Linked DNA regions of Ovis aries. Each later gene encodes a partner of the first gene's protein in a complex. Links are inferred from orthologs where the notes say so. Each region holds a gene or a part of one and is shown in the gene's direction. Other genes may lie near its edges.

Evidence for each region.
Region 2: MAP3K5 (region 1) and DCP1A share a complex: the UniProt entries of both Homo sapiens proteins name them as parts of the cytoplasmic complex. The link is inferred for Ovis aries from reciprocal best matches to the Homo sapiens genes MAP3K5 and DCP1A.
Region 3: MAP3K5 (region 1) and ARHGEF6 share a complex: the UniProt entries of both Homo sapiens proteins name them as parts of the cytoplasmic complex. The link is inferred for Ovis aries from reciprocal best matches to the Homo sapiens genes MAP3K5 and ARHGEF6.
Region 4: MAP3K5 (region 1) and DAB2IP share a complex: the UniProt entries of both Homo sapiens proteins name them as parts of the cytoplasmic complex. The link is inferred for Ovis aries from reciprocal best matches to the Homo sapiens genes MAP3K5 and DAB2IP.
Region 5: MAP3K5 (region 1) and PAK1 share a complex: the UniProt entries of both Homo sapiens proteins name them as parts of the cytoplasmic complex. The link is inferred for Ovis aries from reciprocal best matches to the Homo sapiens genes MAP3K5 and PAK1.

Annotation. Positions count from the first base shown.
Region 1 is NC_056061.1:62,061,511-62,065,527, reverse strand, and holds the start of MAP3K5 (mitogen-activated protein kinase kinase kinase 5), read left to right. Parts: upstream 1-1,204; 5' UTR 1,205-1,450; coding exon 1,451-1,874; exon of another isoform or gene 1,875-4,017. UniProt on the Homo sapiens protein: Serine/threonine kinase which acts as an essential component of the MAP kinase signal transduction pathway. Plays an important role in the cascades of cellular responses evoked by changes in the environment.
Region 2 is NC_056072.1:47,749,045-47,753,307, forward strand, and holds the start of DCP1A (mRNA-decapping enzyme 1A), read left to right. Parts: upstream 1-1,459; 5' UTR 1,460-1,469; coding exon 1,470-1,604; intron 1,605-4,204; coding exon 4,205-4,245; intron 4,246-4,263. UniProt on the Homo sapiens protein: Necessary for the degradation of mRNAs, both in normal mRNA turnover and in nonsense-mediated mRNA decay. Removes the 7-methyl guanine cap structure from mRNA molecules, yielding a 5'-phosphorylated mRNA fragment and 7m-GDP.
Region 3 is NC_056080.1:98,465,070-98,468,583, forward strand, and holds part of ARHGEF6 (rho guanine nucleotide exchange factor 6), read left to right. Parts: intron 1-1,251; coding exon 1,252-1,453; intron 1,454-3,514. UniProt on the Homo sapiens protein: Acts as a RAC1 guanine nucleotide exchange factor (GEF).
Region 4 is NC_056056.1:14,099,386-14,102,899, reverse strand, and holds part of DAB2IP (disabled homolog 2-interacting protein), read left to right. Parts: intron 1-1,760; coding exon 1,761-2,664; intron 2,665-3,313; coding exon 3,314-3,466; intron 3,467-3,514. UniProt on the Homo sapiens protein: Functions as a scaffold protein implicated in the regulation of a large spectrum of both general and specialized signaling pathways.
Region 5 is NC_056074.1:16,260,088-16,263,601, forward strand, and holds part of PAK1 (serine/threonine-protein kinase PAK 1), read left to right. Parts: intron 1-2,234; coding exon 2,235-2,372; intron 2,373-3,514. UniProt on the Homo sapiens protein: Protein kinase involved in intracellular signaling pathways downstream of integrins and receptor-type kinases that plays an important role in cytoskeleton dynamics, in cell adhesion, migration, proliferation, apoptosis, mitosis, and in vesicle-mediated transport processes.

The DNA of each region.
Region 1 (4,017 bases):
TGGGATTCTCCAGGCAAGAACACTGGGGTGGGTTGCCATTGCCTTCTCCAATGCATGAAAGTGAAAAGTAAAAGCGAGGTCGCTCAGTCGTGTCCGACTCTTCGCGACCCCATGGACTGCAGCCTACCAGGCTCCTCCGCCCATGGGATTTTCCAGGCAAGAGTACTGGAGTGGGGTGCCATCGCCTTCTCCGATTCACGACAGCAGAGCTATTGAAAACTTGAAAACGTAAAGTACCAGGGGCAGACCCGATAAATTCAGCCTGCCACTCCCGCAGAGCCACTGTCACCAATACACCACTCTCCAGTTGAGGCCGCCTGCAGGACCGTAGTTAAAATCCTCGGGCCTAGCGCCACGCGGGCCTCCCCACGCTACCCTCTTGCTCCCGGCGCGCACATGGGACCCGACCGCACGGCGGTGCTAGGCCGGCACCGGCCGGAGGAGGGCGCCGTGGTTACGGGGAACGTGGCGCGTGCCTCCTGGCGCTGGCTAAGACCCGAGTATTCGCAAGAGAGACTTTTTTTGTGCCATCCTATAGTCGCCTGCTCTCCGGGCTTTTGCCTACTCCAGGTTGTCTTGGGTGGGGAGCCCAGTGGGTGACGGAGGAGAACCTTGGCCTCGCGCGGTGCTCCGGGCTGGGCCGTGGTCCGGGAGCCGCGACGCGGTCGGTTTCGTCCGGACTCGAGCTTCCCAGCAGCGCCCTCCCCCGGGGCGGGCCCAGACTTTCGGTGCCGCGACGAGTGGGCGGCAAAAAGCCGGTGGCGGACCGGGCGAGCGGCTTCAAGGAGCGGGGAGACTCGAGCTACCAGGCTGGTGCCGGGGACGAAGCGGCCGCGGCAATCGGAAGAGAACGGGGCCGGGGCAGGAGGAGGAAACAGAGCCGATGAAGGGGAGCTGCCGCCGAGGAAGGAGGCGGATCCCTTCGGCGGCTGCTGCCGCTGTTCCGGGACGCGGTCCAGGGAGTCTGCCCGCCCGCGAGGTGCTGGCCAGGTAGCTCCCCACCCAGAGGGCGCCCTCCCCGGCCCCTCCCAGGGTGCCCGGCACGGAAGGAGCCGGGACCGCGTTCCCGGGTGGCCAGGGCGCACCGCACCCGGAGAGCGGCGCCCTTGAGCCGCACCGCCTAGCAGGTTCGCGAGCCGACTTGTCCGCCGGCCAAGAAAAGGAAGCCCTGTCCCTTCCCGCTCAGCCCGGCTCCCCACCCCTTGTACTCTACACCCTGCAGCGGGCGAGCGGCGCGGCCACGGAGGCGCCGAGGAGGGGCGAGCCGCCGCCGGGCAGCGGCGTCCCTTCGGGGGAGAGGGCGCCGGAGAGGAGGCGGCGGCGCGGCGCGGAAGGCGCAACGCGGGATGGCAGCTGCTTAGCAAGGCGCGCACGGAGCAGCCCCGAACTGTGGCTGGCCAGACGGTGCGGCTGGGCGGGAGACGCCGCCGCGGCAGTCCGGCCGGGAGAGATGAGCGCGGAGGCGGGCGAGGGCATCACTTTCTCCGTGCCGCCCTTCGCCGAGGGCGGCAGCTACCGGAGGGGAGGAGCGGCGACGGCGGCCGAGGGCGAGGAGACCCAGCTGCCACCGCCGCCACCGGGCAGCTTCTGGAACGTGGAAAGTGCCGCCGCTCCCGGCGCCGGGTGTCCCAGTGCCACCGCTGGGAGCAGCGCCACCCGGTGCCGGGGCAACTCTGGGGGCGGAGGCGGCCGACGGACCACGGTGGCCTATGTCATCAACGAGGCGAGCCAGGGGCAGCTGGTGGTGGCCGAGAGCGAGGCCCTGCAGTGCCTGCGGGAGGCGTGCGAGACGGTGGGCGCCGCCCTGGAGACCCTGCATTTTGGGAAACTGGACTTTGGAGAAACTGCGGTGCTGGACCGATTTTACAATGCAGGTGCGTGCGACTTTACAATGCAGGGCCCCAGCCTCCGCGGTCGGGGGCCACCGCAGGGGGAAAGCTGTTGTTTCCCACCCCCACCCCCCTGCTCCCGTAGAAAAAATCGATCAGTTTCTGGGCAGCAATCGAGCATCTTACTTATTTACTTCTTGCCCCACCTTAGGGGCAGTGAGCGGCGCTGCGTGACTGCTCGGCTCGCTCGCAGCTTGTGGCAGAGAATCTGACCCCCCGGCCGCCGGCCCGCTCTGGGAATCCAGGGGTGCGTGTGGTCCTCTTGAAGAACTTCTGTTCGCCTGCAGTGCGAGTTACTTGTCCCAGTCAGCCCTGCCCTATTCAGTGTTTTGGTTTCTCTTCTGTTAGATTTGGCCCACATTTTCCTTCTATATATACCTGTGCCTGTTTTAGAAGATGTCCTCATTTTTTTCCGTGTACTTTTGAGAGTACAAAAATTCTGACTTCTGCCACGCAGCCAGCTGCACGCAGAGTGGATCTGTGTGAATTTGCATGTTATGTCACGATCTTCCCAACTCCCTTTCCCTGAAGTTTAGTGGCTTGATTTCCCATCTCTTACCAATTTGAATTGTCAAGTAATTACTTTGAAAAGCAACTTTTGTAACTTGACACTAAACTTGCGAGATATCTCTGTTGGAATTTTGGTGAAAAAGAGCAGAGTATGTTTTTTATGACTCCATATACCCCGATGGGCTGGCAAGTAGATAATTTAACATTATGTAAAACGCTGATATGCAGTTTTAGTAACTAAGTTAGGTTGGCCATTAAAGTGTGCCCATTAAAGTGACTGCTAGAGTAATTCACGAAAAAAAATCTTTTCAGCCTATTACAGATTTCAGAAAGTGTCACTGCGATTCAAGTGACTGAAGCAATTTGCTATCTGCTAGCAAATGTTAGAGATAAAAGCATGTTACTGAAATTAACCTTTAGCACCCTGTACAACCAATGTTGAGAATATATACATTTTTTTTAATAAGTGTGGGCATAAAATTTGATTTAATGGTGCTTTCAGACAATAAGTTTCTTGCATTGTGATCACATAGAAGGTTTTATATTCCAATCTTGTTTCCAGTTCTGATTCTCTTCAGTCTTTTCAGAACACCTGAAGAAGGCTTATGTCAGTCTTGGAATTCAGCCAAAACTGAATATTTTAAGAACAAGAACTTCATGTTAAGGAAGCCAGATTAAATAAACTAGGATTTTCTGGTTCTGGTGTATTTTACCATCTTAGTCTTCATAACTGGACATGGGTAGAACATAGTTTAGCTCGGTTCTTTGTGTGACTTGCTGTAAAAATTACATAAATATAACATTTCTAAAAATTACAGCATTTTTATTTTTGAATTATAATTTGGAAAAAGCTTCAAAGAACTGAAAGATATATGAGGAAAACACCCAATGAAATGCTAAACCTATTTTTATTGTTTTGATAGATTGGGTATTTTTTTTATAAAATAATCTTTAAGCTAATTTGAAAGACTTTCCTAACAAGGTTCATGTAATGTTTATTCTCCAAATACTATCTCTGGGAAAGGGAGAGAGAAAGATTAGAAGGTACCAGACATTTGAAATGTATCTCATTTAATACTCCAAACAAGCCTATGAGGGAAGTAGTACTTAGCTATCTTCTTAGATGAGAAAACCAAGGGCTCCATCACTGGTTCAAGGTCATGGATAATAACTGGTCAATGGAGGGTCCCACTTTGAGTGCCTGACTCTAAAAGGTCCGGCTTCACCCTTGCTACGTCCATTTAGCTGGACTGATTTATTCTCAGAATTAAGAGAGGGAAACGTCAAACTCATGGTAGAGAGCTGGCAGGGACCCTGTGAGCCATTGTGTGCTTTGTGGAATAGTGGGGAGGAGGGCACATTTTAGGGAGACCAGTGTTTCCGGGCCAGCTCTGTCCCATCCCACTGGTGAGCTCAACTAGGCAGGCCCCAGTTTCACCCCTGCCTGTGACATGAACCCTCAGGTCTCTCATTCAGCAAGAAAACGTTGAAGATGTGGCAGAATGAAAATGGTATCGGTTTTGTTTTCTAAACTGAGGGAGGCCAAGGTGAACAGTAGTAGAACTCGACTTCTGATTTCTAAGAGAGCACTTGCTTGTCCTCTGTAAAGGGCCAGATG
Region 2 (4,263 bases), on another chromosome or scaffold:
GATCATTCCTGAGTGTTCATTGGAAGGACTGATGTTGAAGCTGAAACTCCAACACTTTGGCCACCTGTTGCAAAGAGCTGACTCATTTGAAAAGACCCTGATGCTAGAAAAGACTGAGGGCAGGAGGAGAAGGGGAGGACAGAGGATGAGATGGTTGGATGGCATCACGGACTCAATGGACATGAGTTTGGGTAAACTCTCGAAGCTGGTGATGGACACGAAGGCCTGGCGTGCTTCTGTTCATGGGCACAGAATTGTACACGACTGAGCGACTGAACTGAACTGATGGAGAAGGGAATGGCAATCCACTCCAGTATTCTTGCCTGGAGAATGCAATGGACAGACCAGCCTGGTGGGCTATAGTCCATGGGATTACAAAGAGTCAGATACGGCTGAGCTACTAACAAAAATACTTGCTAAAGAAACAGTAAATGAATATGTTTCCTTTTCTGCATTTGTACATGTAACGTGATTCTGCCAACAATGTAAAACATTAAGTATCTTTCCGATAACGACCTCGGGATGTAAAATCATAAACAATACAACTATTAGAGTCAATAGTATTTTTCAGTCAAAAAAAATTCAACCTGCACCCCGTGCACTGGAAGGGTGGAGTCAACCACTGGGCCGCCACAGACACCTCTCGGTTATCTTTTCAGTATAAGAAAAGGTTTTTTATAACAAATCGGGGGAGGGGCGGGGGAAGGGGCAGAGCTCCCTTTATCTTCCACACCTTGTTTTACTCTTTAGCTAGTAACTGGCTCTTTTAAAATGCCTTAAAATATTAAGCAGATGTTTGCTAAAAGGATGAGTTACCGTTTTAAAGCTTTAAATGATGCACGGCAAACAACTTTTCAAGGGTTCTTTCCAAAACTGGATAAAGATTTTCGTGGGATTCAGAGGAAGAAAATAAGTTGACAATAAAAGACATTTCTGTGTAATTACAGACAGGCTAGTCTGGCTTTTTCAAAAACTTCCTTTATAAAAACACAAATAGATCTGAGATCTGGGGTACTTTCCGAGGTACCCCACCCCCACCCCGTTTCTCCCCGCTTTTCTGTTTTCTAAATCGCCCCTGGAGCCCTGCCTTGACGCAGCTAGGTTTCCAGTCTGCGGCCACGGGAAACTAATCCGGCAGGAACGGTGAGAAAGCTCCAGAGCAGCCTTGTTCAGAGCGCCGGTACCTTTCAGCCCGCGGAAAAGAAGAACCTGCGCCCAGGCCTTTCTGCTCCGCCACGCGGCGGCGGACCCCACCTCGAACCTTAGTCCACTGGGACCTGACGACACCGGAACCCGGTGCCCCGGGCGTAGGTTCAGCGGAGCATAATAGCTGCAGTACCGCCCGGCCGCGAGGCCCGGTGGAGAGGCGGAAATTGAGGGCGCTGACGCAGCTGGGGGAACTTTGCCTCCATGGCACCTTCCTGTCCTCGACTCCGCCCCGCCAGAGGGGCTCGGCTCCAGAATTCAAGATGGAGTCGCTGAGTCGAGCTGGGCAAGAGATGAGCCTAGCAGCCCTGAAGCAACACGACCCCTACATCACCAGCATCGCAGACCTCACGGGCCAGGTCGCACTGTACACCTTCTGCCCCAAGGCCAACCAGTGGGTGAGTGCAGCCAGGTGGCTGAAGTCGCTCTCCCGGCCGCCGTCTCTTAAAGGGGCCGCGCCGACCGACCTGGGTAGGGGGCGATGCGGGAGGCCACGGTGGCGGAGGCGAGGCCAGGGACTGGAGGAGAGCCTGGCCGGCGCCTGAGAGGTGTCGGCGCCGCTGGGGATTGGGTGAGAGGAGAGAGGGAAGTAGGTCCAAACATCCGGGGGGAACGCTGATAGAGGGGAGGGTTGAAGAAGGATTAGTCCCCAGGGGTCCAGTTCGAGGATGTGGGCGACCTGCCTTCTTTGCAGGTGTGTTGGAGGATTTGAGACCGATGGAGTCAGAAAGACGCCTGTAAGATTGTCTGAAGCTTTGAGAGTTGTTAGATAAATTATGTATACATAATCTATAAAGTAAACACTCCTCTCCCCCCAACAGATAGATAAATCAGAACCCCCTTCGCAGAGGTTATTAGGATTTAAAGCTTGAATTCCAATTAGTTTCAGTTCTTGGAAAGGCGAGAGGGTGGGGATACGTCCCGCATTTATCAAACTACACTGTGTTTCCAGAGTTTGGAAAAGATTTCAAGGCACTTAGGAAAAGGGCTTGCATGTTAATTTTGTTACCTTGAAACCTTTGGACAAGAGACCTCGTGTTTTCAGCTATGCTGCTGGTGATGTCACCTCTGAATACGCGCATCAGACTTAAGTACTTTTTGCCTTTTTTTGCACGAGAGAGGTTGCGAAAAGTTACATTCAGTTAGTTCACTGATTTGTTAGCCGCTTTGAAGCTTCGGTTGTTGTTTACATGTCAGAATTTCGAGACTTCCCTGGCGATCCAGTGGTTAGAACTCCCCGCTTCAACTGCAGGGGGCAAGAGTTCGATCCTTAGTCGGAGAACTAAGATCTAACAAGCCACGCAAGTGGCTAAATAAAATATAAATAAACGTAACATCATTTCCCTTAAAAATATGAATCTTCTTGATTAACTCATTTAGCTATATAGGCTTTATTTTAAAAATAGTCTGTAAATGTTTGTTGGATTGAATTAATAAATGATTCACATTCACGTTTCAATAAGAATTGAAGTCCTTGTACTAACAAAACAAAGATTATTATCATAATATATTCTTTACAACATAATGCAGATACATGGGTTATATTTAATCATTAATTTTGTGAAAAATCATTTCGCATTTATAAACAGTTAAATCAGATGCAGAGGGTTTTCAGAGTCATCTTGCTTTACTTTGTATCGTCTTTCCTTCACCTCCTGGAATAGGAGGAGGTATGGCAAGCCACACAGAACAAAATTATAGATTTTTTCTTTTAAGTGTGACTGTTTTAGTAGATATTGCTTTAGTTTAAATTGTTTTGGACCATTTTTCTTTTCTTGCTGTGCATATACATTTTTGGAGTGTGGATTGCAGACAAATGGTGAATATTTGGGGCATGGGCTTATTACTATAAGCTTTTATTTCTAGTTTGTCACAGACTTCCAATATTTTGGAATTTTAATTGTGCCATTCTTCTTTAAATACAAGCTGAATGAAATACAAGCTGAAATAACCTGAATTGAAAACTAAGCTGCCGTTATTCATTTGTATCATGGCAGTGATTTGTAACTTTACACAGTTGTTTATTTGGGTAAATTTTCTTTCATTGTGAAGCAATTGATTACCAATTTATTATATTAATAAAGTTTGAAAGGCAAGAAATACATAAGGAAAAATTCCATGATAATGTTTAAGTTAGAAATCAAGATGGTAAATATCTTTTAAAGTTCTTTTTTTCATCCCACCAAATTCAATTCTATATGACTAACATTTAAGTTTGTTAATAGTTTGCTGACTGCATTAAACTGTTTAGATCCTATCTGGCCTGTGAATTGTAGACTAATTTAAAAAAAAAAACAAAACATTTTAACGGTTTAAAACCTAAATACACTCTTGTCACAGCAAATGAAAGATGATGAGTTGTACTTTTTTAATCAAAACGTTTACTTTAAGCGAAAAAAAAGTTTTAAATTATTTGTAAGACCTATACAAATTATACTAAGTAGAATTTCAGTACTCATGATTCTTCAACAAAGGTCTAAGAGTAACAAACTAATTGTGTTTGACAGTAGTTCTTAACTAACTACAAAATTTGCTACTCAGGAAAATATGCCGGAATCTCCCAAATGATGAAACAGTGTCCTGTAAGATAAAATTTCTTTTTTTTCTCCTACTAACTTTGATAAACTTTAAAGGTGAAGTAATGACTGTATACAGACTTTGGCTTTAAAATTAAGAAATTTGGCTAAAACATTTTAGTTTTAAAAAATGAAAGCTAATTCTAGATTTTTTTCTCCTTTAAATTTTAAAAAAGAAAAGAAAAGTTACTGTAGATACAGGCATGTTGCTGGATAGAACATTGCATATCAATTAACATGCATCAATAGACTAAAAAGGATACAAAAGAAACTGGTAACAGTAGTTTGTAGAGAGAAGCTTGACCTGTTCAGAGTAATTAATTTTAAAATAAATAAGTTAATCTTAAACATGACGTCTCCACTGGGACAACTTGGGGTTAGATTATGGGGGAAAAAACTAATTGACTCATTGTCTGTTACAGGAGAAGACCGATATAGAAGGGACCTTATTTGTATATCGAAGGTAAGCTTTTTAAAAACT
Region 3 (3,514 bases), on another chromosome or scaffold:
AAGCCCATCCCTTTCTAGAATTGAGCAACTGAGAACCCTATGCAAATGTCAGTTGTTAGTCCAACTTCCTGAGGGAAGTTTGCTGTTATTTCCCCGTCACCAGCCCCCACCCCTCGCTCCCGCCCCCGCCCCCGGCTTATTAGAGAACTAAATAGTGCCTGGCACAGTGCAGGAAATCAATATATATTACTTGCTCTCATCATCATCACTGCCATTTTCTTTTTCTCTTTGCATTCCTATTGAGCTCCTGTATTGGGATGGCTCAGTTATCATTGCATTTGGTCTTAATGGGAGCTTTCTTTTGGAAGGAAGCACCCTAGCTTCTGCTCTTTTGAGACCTTTATTCCTTGTCAAAATCCACCCACTTGCTTTAAGCCATCAGGAGCTATTAGTTCCAAAGTACTTTAATTACTTCCAAAGCACTTAACCTTTTGAGATCAGAGATCCCTTTCAGAAGCTGATGAACACTGTATGGTTCCATACCTCTTGGGCCCTCTCCAATTGTATGCAAAATCTTCTCCCTGAACTTTCTAGTCTCTGTTTTGGGTAAAGGCACATTGTGCCATCATCTTCTCAGGGACCTGTGACAGGTTAAGAGCTCCTGACTTGGGTAACTATGGGATATTTGATCTTTGCATATGACTAAGCCTTAGCCAATTTAAGATATTCTTAGTAATTGGGAGGTGGGAGGCAGATTTTATGAGATGAGGTTAGTACCTAATCATGGTCATGTAATTATGTAAGACTTTGTCTGAGTGTTGGGTACAGGCAGAGTGGGATAGTTTATTAATCTACTTTGTTTCCTAGCTCATTTAAATAAGTATCTTTCAGGAATTCCCTGGCAGTCCAGTGATGAGGACTCCATGCTTCCATTGAGGGGAGCCTGGGTTTGATTCTTGGTAGGGAAACTAAGATCCCCACAAGCTGAGTGATGTGGCCAAAAAAATAAAAGTAGTATCTACTGGTGGGGGACAAGGAGATGAAGGCATGACCCCCTCCAAAATACACATTCTCACAAATGCAAAAGTTTGCCTACAATTTTGAGGGCTTTATTAATCCCCTTCTTCTCACTGCCTGTGTCCCCGAAAGGCCTACCTACATTAGGCCCATTCCTAAGTTAAAGATTCAAGACTGAGATAGACCTGGGGTTTTATCCTTGGTCACCCTACTTTATTTGCCTAAATTCATAGAATTTCTGCCCCAGCCTCGTTGACATAAGTACCTAATCTGGTGTGACTTTTATTTCTCCAGGAGATGACGGAAAATGGAAGTCACCAGTTGATAGTAAAGGCGAGATTCAACTTTAAGCAGACTAATGAAGACGAGCTGTCTGTCTGTAAAGGGGACATCATTTATGTCACTAGAGTTGAAGAAGGAGGCTGGTGGGAAGGCACATTAAATGGGAGAACAGGCTGGTTCCCTAGTAATTATGTCCGAGAAATTAAATCCAGTGGTAAGTCAATCTTTTCAAAGCTTTTTTGACTCTCAAAGCTTTTTTTGGTCTTTGGACAGAAAATCTTGCAGTTTTCATTGGTTCACAGAATTGTTTGTACTGGTATATGTGAAAAAGACTAGAACAGAACTGGGGTAAAAAAAATCTGTGATTAGATATTTTGAAGCCAAGTTGTATTTAGATTACATCAAGGCGGCAAGAAACTAAAAAAGCAAAAGAATTCAAAGCTTAGACAACTGTTCCACCTTAACTATGTCCCTTTCTGCTACTAATTCTAGCCCCTGTAGCCCATCTACAAAGTCCTTCCTGCTACTCCAAGAATCACTGATGGCAGAATACAATAATAAGAGAGGCCATGTGCTCGCTTCCTTTTTTTATCCCTAAGCTCTTTGAGCAAACTTAAGTCTAAATGTCTCAGAGATATGTAGGAGAAATAACAATCACAAGGCTGCAGGAAGCTGTCTGGCCACTTTGATTCTGAATAAGATTGCCCTTAAAGTCATTGCACACTGCTAACCGTTTACCCTTTTTCATGATGATACCCAGAGGAATGCAATCTAATCGCTCATCAGTAATCATTCTAGAACTTTCTTAGGTAACTCTCTTGCCTTTTATTCTTCAAGAAACTAAATCTTGCTTATATTACAAAACCAACAAAAATCCTTGGCATTATAAAAATGTGTCATAATACAGATAAAATAAGGTTCAGTTATTCACATTATTATTGCTCTTCCTGCTTCAAAACTATTTACCCAGGGGCTCCTTTTGAGTAGTTAGCTCCTTGGTATATTTTTTCCTTTGGTTGATGTCTTTTTTGCTTTTTTAATACCTCAAAATTAATACTATTATTTAATAAGATTATAGGCTCACTATAAGTTAAAACTTATCAAAATAGATAATGGAGACAATAAAAGTTCCCCTCTTATCTCTTCCTCCAGATAACCACTGTTAGGAGCTTTTCCCTAAAGTATTTGAGCTGAAATTTAGCTTCACACTTTTCTGTGTTGTGTGTCAGGTGAAGGTAGAGCATTTCCTTTAGTGGAATAAGTATTTACTAACAGATTTATAATTATGTGTGTGTGTGTGTAAATGTCTTAGTATCTTTTAGTACTGGGAATCGAGGAGTTTCTGTTGAGCCCTGAAGTATTTTCATGGGTTTTGCCTGGAGTTTCCTTGGTTTTGATGATTTTCACAGCCGATTTTTACCCCTTTTACATCTTTCAATGTGTATAATCTGATTGTTAGACTCTCTAAATAATTTGACAGATTCACTGTAACTTTGTTCACTGATTCAATGCCTTCATCAGAAAAGTAAAAGGAACAGCCCTTGCTTCCTGGCCTGGCCTGGGAATCCCAAGAATTGTTGAGGGGATGTAGTAGCCAACAGACAGCACGCCACACTCCTTATAGTGTCCCTTACTGAGATGCCTTGTAGCATATAGTCTGGCTCCTCCCTTGTGAACCAACCACCCTAAGTTTGTCCTGGTCTTGGACCCCTTCTCTTGGAGTTTTTCCTAAACTCTCTTTGGTTTACAACTCAGTTAAGGATACACTTGGCAAGCTCTGGCTCTTGTTTGAGCACCTGGGGAACCTAACCCTTAGAAACTCTTTTCCAGCTGTCAAGAATAGGTCTGCCTAACTGGGGTCAGGAGGCCTGCCTCTCAGGGAAAGCCTAGGACTGGAAGAGTATGGACCACTTCCCACCTAGTTTACTGCAATAGCTTCTTAACTGGCATCCCTGCCCCTGTCCTTGTCACTCCTATAGTGTAGTTTAAACTCAATAGCCAGAGGGTACTTTTAAAATGTACCTTGAGCACTATTAAAATGATTGAGAAGGTACTTTTAAAATGATTCTTTTAAAATGTAACTTGAGTACTATAATGGCTCCCAGCTCAAAAACAGTGAAGGTCAAGGTCATCCCAGTAATCTACATGGCCTCCAGGATTGGCCTCTGGTGTCCCCTCTGACCTTCTTTCTGACCTCTCTCCCCCTCACTTGTCCCACTTCAGCCATGCGGGCCTCCTGGTTGCCTGTTCCAGACAGGTTCCTGCCTCACCTGCT
Region 4 (3,514 bases), on another chromosome or scaffold:
AGACAGTATCTTTTGTCGAGGAACAGTTACTGGTCCCAATCAGCACTAGTCACAGTCACTTTTTTGTGTGTATATGAGCTAGTATTTCCTGGGCCTGAACTAGAGTCTCCAGAAGTAGAGCTCCAGAGTGTGTTTTCAGGAGGAGTTCAGGTGACTCCGCGAGGCGAAGAGGCTGGGAGCCCCGGGAAACTAGAGAGATGCTGAGGCCCAGCTCCCACTCTGCACATCCAGTGCTGGGACGAGTGCCTCGTCAATACACAATGGAGGGGGAGGGAGAATGTTCTCAAGTGTTGACGTCAAGACAAGGACCTTCATGTTTACAGTGAGCTACCTGTACTTGGGGTCAAACACTCCCCTCGTCCAGCAGGACCGTCTTGGACTGGCTCACGAGGCTGAGGCTGGAGCAGCAGAGCCGGGCACTGTCTGGCTCTGAGACGGTGGGGACGTCAGTGGCAGGCTGTTAGCAGGCAAGGGCGTTGAGATCAAGGACCTGGGGATGTGGTGTGAGGGACTAAAGGCCCAGGAGGAGGCCGGAGATGCAGAGACCTTGACGCCCCTTCCCCCCGGGTCCCTCTACGTCTTGAGGAGGGGCTGTCCCTACAACCTGCCAAGTGAGGCAAAGTAAGAGTTCAAGTGGGGACACACGTCAGTTGAGAGGTCAGGAGAGCTGACCTGGGCATGTGAAGGGCGACCCAGGCCCAGGGCTGGTCCGGGTTTCTCCCAACTCCACCTACTTCCCCCGTCCACTTCTTCTCGGCCCCCAAGAGCCGTGGCCTCGAGTGGCCACAACCTACCCTGTCCTGTCCCATCACCCCGGACTGGCACTTCCTCTCCATCCCAGACTAAGCCAACTCCTTTCTAAGCCCACATTGAAGCCCCAGGTTCCTGCTGCCTCCAGCCCACTCAGAGCCTGTTCAGCTCCCCCCGAGCCTGCCTTTCAAAGCCCACCTGGTTTTGTGCCTCCTTCCAAGGAGCTGGCTTTTCCTGGGAAGGGGCCAGAGAGAGGCTAGGAGCCTGGGGTGGAGGGTCGGGGACATGGCCTACAGCGGCAGGTGCAGGCCCTCCCTGCCTGAGTCACGCCGTGAGGATCCTCCTCTGATACCTTGTGTTTTTTTTTTTTTTTGCCGGAAGCCCCAACCCCCGCCTGCCAGTCAGACAAGGGGTGGCAGTAGGAGGCTGCAGGTGGAGGCTTCTCTCAGCACAGGCCCCCACTTTGGTGAGCAGCCTGACTAGGGACGGGAGGGAAGAGGCAGAGGGAGCCCCCCGTGGCTTTGAAGTCATCGTTCCTGGTGCAGGACCCTCGGGTAGCAGAGAGCCACTGAGTTGTGGGTTTGGATTTAGCGCAGGGGAATTTTCCGGAACACCCCAGGCCCCAGAACCTACTGTCTCAAGATGCCGCGCTGATCAGGAAAAGGGCCGCTGCTAGGCAGCCTGGCCTGGTGCTGGGAGCTCGGGCCCCTAGTGCCGCAGTTCCGTGTAGGAGCAGCCGTCCGCCCCGCGCCTTGGTGGTGGCCTCTGCCAGGCTCGGTGGCTGTGGTTTGGTTTCGCAGCTGCGCCCCGGACTCTCCCCTTCTTGCCGCCCCATCCCCTCCTCTCCCCTCCCCTCCCTGCCTCCCCTCTCTTCCCCCCTCCCCCATCCCTGGCTCAGGCCACAGGGCGGCAGGTTGGCAGGGCTCTCAGTTGGTCGGGACCCCGCCTGGGCTGCATTCACAGTTCTTCTCTTCCCCCTTCTTTCCCTGTGTGTGCTTGTCTCCCTGCAGTCTGATAGATTTCACCCGGTTACCGTCTCCAACCCCCGAAAACAAGGACTTGTTTTTTGTCACAAGGTCCTCCGGGGTCCAGCCCTCACCTGCCCGCAGCTCGAGTTACTCGGAAGCCAACGAGCCCGATCTTCAGATGGCCAACGGCGGCAAGAGTCTGTCCATGGTGGACCTCCAAGACACCCGCGTGCTGGATGGGGAGGCAGGCTCCCCAGCAGGCCCCGACACCCTCGCCGCCGATGGCCAAGCGCCCGCGACTCAGCTGGTGGCTGGGTGGCCAGCCCGGGCGGCCCCCGTGAGCCTGGCAGGGCTGGCCACAGTGCGGCGGGCAGGCCAGACGCCCACCACGCCGGGCACGTCGGAGGGCGCGCCGGGTCGGCCCCAGCTCCTGGCACCGCTGTCCTTCCAGAATCCCGTGTACCAGATGGCGGCCGGCCTGCCACTGTCTCCCCGCGGCCTCGGCGACTCGGGCTCCGAGGGCCACAGCTCCCTGAGCTCCCACAGCAACAGCGAAGAGCTGGCAGCTGCCGCCAAGCTGGGCAGCTTCAGCAGCAGCGGCGCCGCAGCCGCCCCCGAAGACCTGGGCCGGCGCCCCGGGGAGCTGGCACGGCGGCAGGTGTCGCTGACCGAGAAGGGTGGGCAGCCCACGGTGCCACGGCAGAACAGTGCCGGCCCCCAGCGGAGGATCGATCAGCCGCCGCCACCACCCCCGCCGCCACCCCCCGCGCCCCGAGGCCGGACGCCGCCCACCCTGCTGAGCACCCTGCAGTACCCACGGCCGTCGAGTGGAACGCTGGCCTCGGCCTCGCCCGACTGGGCTGGGCCCGGAGCGCGGCTGCGGCAACAGTCCTCGTCCTCCAAGGGCGACAGCCCCGAGCTGAAGCCTCGCGCCGTGCACAAGCAGGTCAGTGCTGCCAGGCGGAGAGGGCAGGCCACCACCCCCCGCCCCAGGGTGGGGTCCGGCTAACCCCCCACGTCGTGCTGCTCCTCCCGGCCACGTCATCTCCACCCGCACCCAGCTGCCATCCCATGCTGAATGATGCCACACTTGGCCCCATCCCACCAGCTACTTGCCGTGACAGCCCCCCAGTGGCCCTGGCCTAAATCCTGTGAACCAGCTTCACTGTGGCTTGGGGTTCCTCTGCCAGTTTCCCCAGAGACAGCTGGGGTCAGGAAGAAAGAGGAAGGGATCTGTCTGCCCATCTCCAGTTCCAAAGCCTGTTAAAGCCCAACCCAGGGTAGGAGTCCACCTAGCCGCTCGTCCCCCTCCTGCTCTGAGCTGGTCTTCAGGGCTCTGCACAGAGTTATAGGTTCTTCGGGTTAGACACCAACCTGCCAGCCCAAGCCCACTGGCTCTCTCCCAGGCGGCAGAGAAGCCATGTTCAGCTAGGCTCCCCTCCCACCCCCGGCTCGTGACAGCCTCAGGCTGCGTCTAGGAGGTGAAACTCCCCAGGGCCTGGGGCTGCATCAGAGATGCCCGTCCGTCCCTGTGCCGCACCCGGGACCACCCCTTCCCCCCCGCCCCAGTCCCTCACAGTTGTGTTTCATCGCAGGGCCCTTCACCCGTGAGCCCCAATGCCCTGGACCGCACGGCTGCCTGGCTCTTGACCATGAATGCACAGTTGTTAGAAGACGAGGGCCTGGGCCCAGACCCCCCGCACAGGGATAGGCTAAGGAGTAAGGAGGAACTCAGCCAAGCGGAAAAGGTAAAAACCAGACCCTGGCCACTCGGACAGGGTGAGCTGCCTCCCCAA
Region 5 (3,514 bases), on another chromosome or scaffold:
GTAACAGAAGATAAGAGCTGTGAAAGAAATAGTAAGGGGCTTAAGAGAGTAAGAGGAGGAAGGACAGAGAAGTATGCTGTTTTATTCTAGGTGGAGAATGAATTCCTCTCTTATAAGTTATCTGAGGAGACATCTGAAGAAAAAAAAGGAATGAAAAAGTAAAAAGAAAACTGAAAAAAGGAATGAGTTTTGAGATTAATCTGAAGTAAGAATTTTCAAGTTATCAAGTGTATAAAGAACTTGTTTAGAGAACATACTTGATACATCCTTGGGAAAACCAAGGAGACTAATGTCCCTGAAGTGAGTGAGCAGAGTGGACAAGGTTCTGACCATGTTAAGTTAAAATGTTTATTAGACATCTTAAATGGAGGTATTGAGTAGAATTGGGCATAAGAGTTCAGAGTTCAAGAGTGAGCATTCAGGACTCGAAATACAAATTTATTAGTAGGTATTATATGGTTGGTTTATTTAAAAATCAGAGGTAGATGATAATGAGATCACACACTTAGGGAAAGAGGTAGTACTGAGACCTGGGATACTCTCATATTTACAAATTAGAGGAACCAGCAAAGTTGATCAATGGGCAGCCTTCCTGGTAGAAGGAGAACTGAGAGATGTGTCCTGGAGGCCAAGAGGACAAGTGTTTTGAGAAGGAGGATGGACCAGTGTGTCAAATGTGACTAAGTTGCATTTAAGCCAATGCGAAGTAATGATCATTAGATTTGCCTGTGTGAAGGTTGTTGATGACTTTGACAGTCAGTTTCACTGGAGTGATGGGAACAAAAGCCTGATTAGAGTAAATCCACCAGAGTGAAGAAATGACATGTATAAGCAGTTACTTTTCATCGTTTTCTTTCAGAGGAATTTTGCAGTTATGCTAACAGAGAAGTGAGTGGAGCCATATCTTGAAGTAGCGACTAGGGGGGTTTTCTTTTTTTGTTTTTTGTTTTGAAGATGATATTATCATAGCATGTTTTTGTGCTGATGAGAATTATCTAGTAGAGAGGAAAATGGTCATGTACAAGAGGGATGTGACGTCTGTAGGAGAGATAGTGATATCGTTAAGTAGATCGGGGGGTTGGATGAAGTACTGAAGTAAAGATCATCAAATTAGAACTTGGACAGTTTGTTATTATAATAGGAGAGGGAAAGCAGTGTAAGTGAATACAGATACAAGTAGGTTGATAATTTTGATCATGGGCAAATGTGAGAGTTATTCTGATTGTTTTTATTTTGTTATTTATTCCAACCTCTCACTCAGTGCAAGAATTCCCAGAGTTTTGTCGCTAATCAACAGTCATGTAGTTTTAGCCAGTTACCTCTTGGATAGCCCTGATTATTGAAAAGTGTTTTAGTGTACCAAACTGAAACTACCTTCCATAGTTTCTTTCCTTGCCTCCCAGTATTGCCCTGTGGATCCACATGCCACTCATCTTCCTCCACCTTAGAGTGGCCTTGAAAATGATGATGATTAGTAGTAACAGAAATGAGACTGGGATCAAAGTCAGAGGACATAAGCTTGTGTAAACAGCACAATCCCAAGCATATCTCTTTATGTTTTAGGACTTTATCTGTGAAATGGGGATGATAATTCTTGCTCTGCCTATTACCCAGAGTTATTGTGGTCATTAAATGAGATAGTGTTTGTGTAAACACTTATGAAATAAAGTTCAGATTGCTTTAAAAGGTTTAGTATGATGTTTTTCTTTATCTTTCCCAGGATATGGCTTCATATTAGAGAACCAAGATGGCAACAGTGAAACAGATTGCTCCTTTACAGACTAGTTCCTTTATATATTCTTTTCCTGCTAGAAGAGATCAGTTTTTAGATGACTGAGATGATGGCACCAGGAATAATAAATTTCCTTCAATAAATGGGCAGGTGTTTAACTCATTAGGCTAAATGTATAGTAAACCATTTAGATTTAAATCAATAATAATAAATCCTTGGATCTGTAACACACTTCATAAGCTTATGAAATGCTTACAATATGTTATCTTGTTTTATTTTACAGACATGTGAGATAGGCACTGTTATCATCCCTGTTTTACAGACGAGGAAGTTAGAAATTCACTGGAAATTTGGCTCTTAAGTCATATTCTCTCCATTATACCAAAGCTGCCTCTTTGTCTTCTGAAGGCAGAAAGCAGCCGACCATATTTCTTCGGGGCCTGTCTGGGAACCAGGAAAGAATCCCAGGTAGAGCCCAGGGCAATTCTGTTTGTATTTCCAGGCCTTGTACCTCATTGCCACAAATGGGACCCCAGAGCTTCAGAACCCAGAGAAGCTGTCAGCTATCTTCCGAGACTTTCTGAACCGCTGTCTTGAGATGGATGTGGAGAAGAGAGGTTCGGCTAAAGAACTGCTGCAGGTAACTGTCCCTATGTAGGGAGGCACCTAATTCAGAGAATCACATAATGAAGGCTTTTTTGCTGCATTTTTGTATGGCTGTTATAGAACTAGGCTTTTCTCCTAGCACGTCCCACACTCCTATTTCCCTCATCTTGTTCATCCCTGGACCTTTGCTGATGTTACTCCCTTGGGCTCTTCCTCAGCCTATTAAAACTCTGTACTTTTCTAGGCTGTATCTTACAGAGTTATTTTCTGAGCTCTTATTGAACTTTGCCTATATCTTCCTTTGGTGCTTGTTATGTTCTGCCTGAATTAGTCTAGCAGAGTTTGAGTCTTGATGAGAAGAAATTTTTTGACATGCAAATCTTATACAAGGTATATTTTACTGGGATAAACTCAAAAGATAGATTTTTAGGAAAGGATATCAGAAGACATTCATTTAGAGGATAGTTAGTGCAACATTTCAAGTCTTCCCAGTTTCTTCATGGAAACCCTTGCAGATGGTGGGAATGATAGTCTGCTTGTTTGTTCATTTATTTCAATTTTTTGGCCATGCCACATGGCATGAGGGACCTTAGTTCCCTGACCAGGGATCAAACCTGTGCCCTCCTGCAGTGGAAGCTTGGAGTCTTAACCATTGGATCACCAGGAAGGTCCCTATAGTCTGCTTGTTTGGAGTGAGATCCTGACAGGCTGTGGGGAACCTGAAGTTGGGGGTTTACCAAGCCTTATATATTCCACCAGCTTAATCCTGAAGTTATAGCATGATTATTTCATATGGTTTCAAAATTTGCTTTTAGTTGACCACATTATCTATATTTAGCATTTATGTTTCAGTTACAATTTCTCATTACTAGTGTTATTTTACTACATTGCCAACTGGTGATTTAATAAGTGTGACATGCAACTTACTGACGATGAGAAATGTGTAGATTTGCACAGTCAGTCAGTATACAAAAGTCATAAAACTTTTGTATTTTGAGGACTAACACAGGGCAGGGCAGGGCAGGATGTACCATACTGCATCAAATTAAAGCTAACTATGAACAATTCTGTCTTCCTTACTGTTAGTAGATCATAACTTCTATGTTATTAATCCTTGGTTTCCTCTTACCTGGGACCTGAATCAAAATAGGTATTCAGTGGGAGAAAACATTTGCA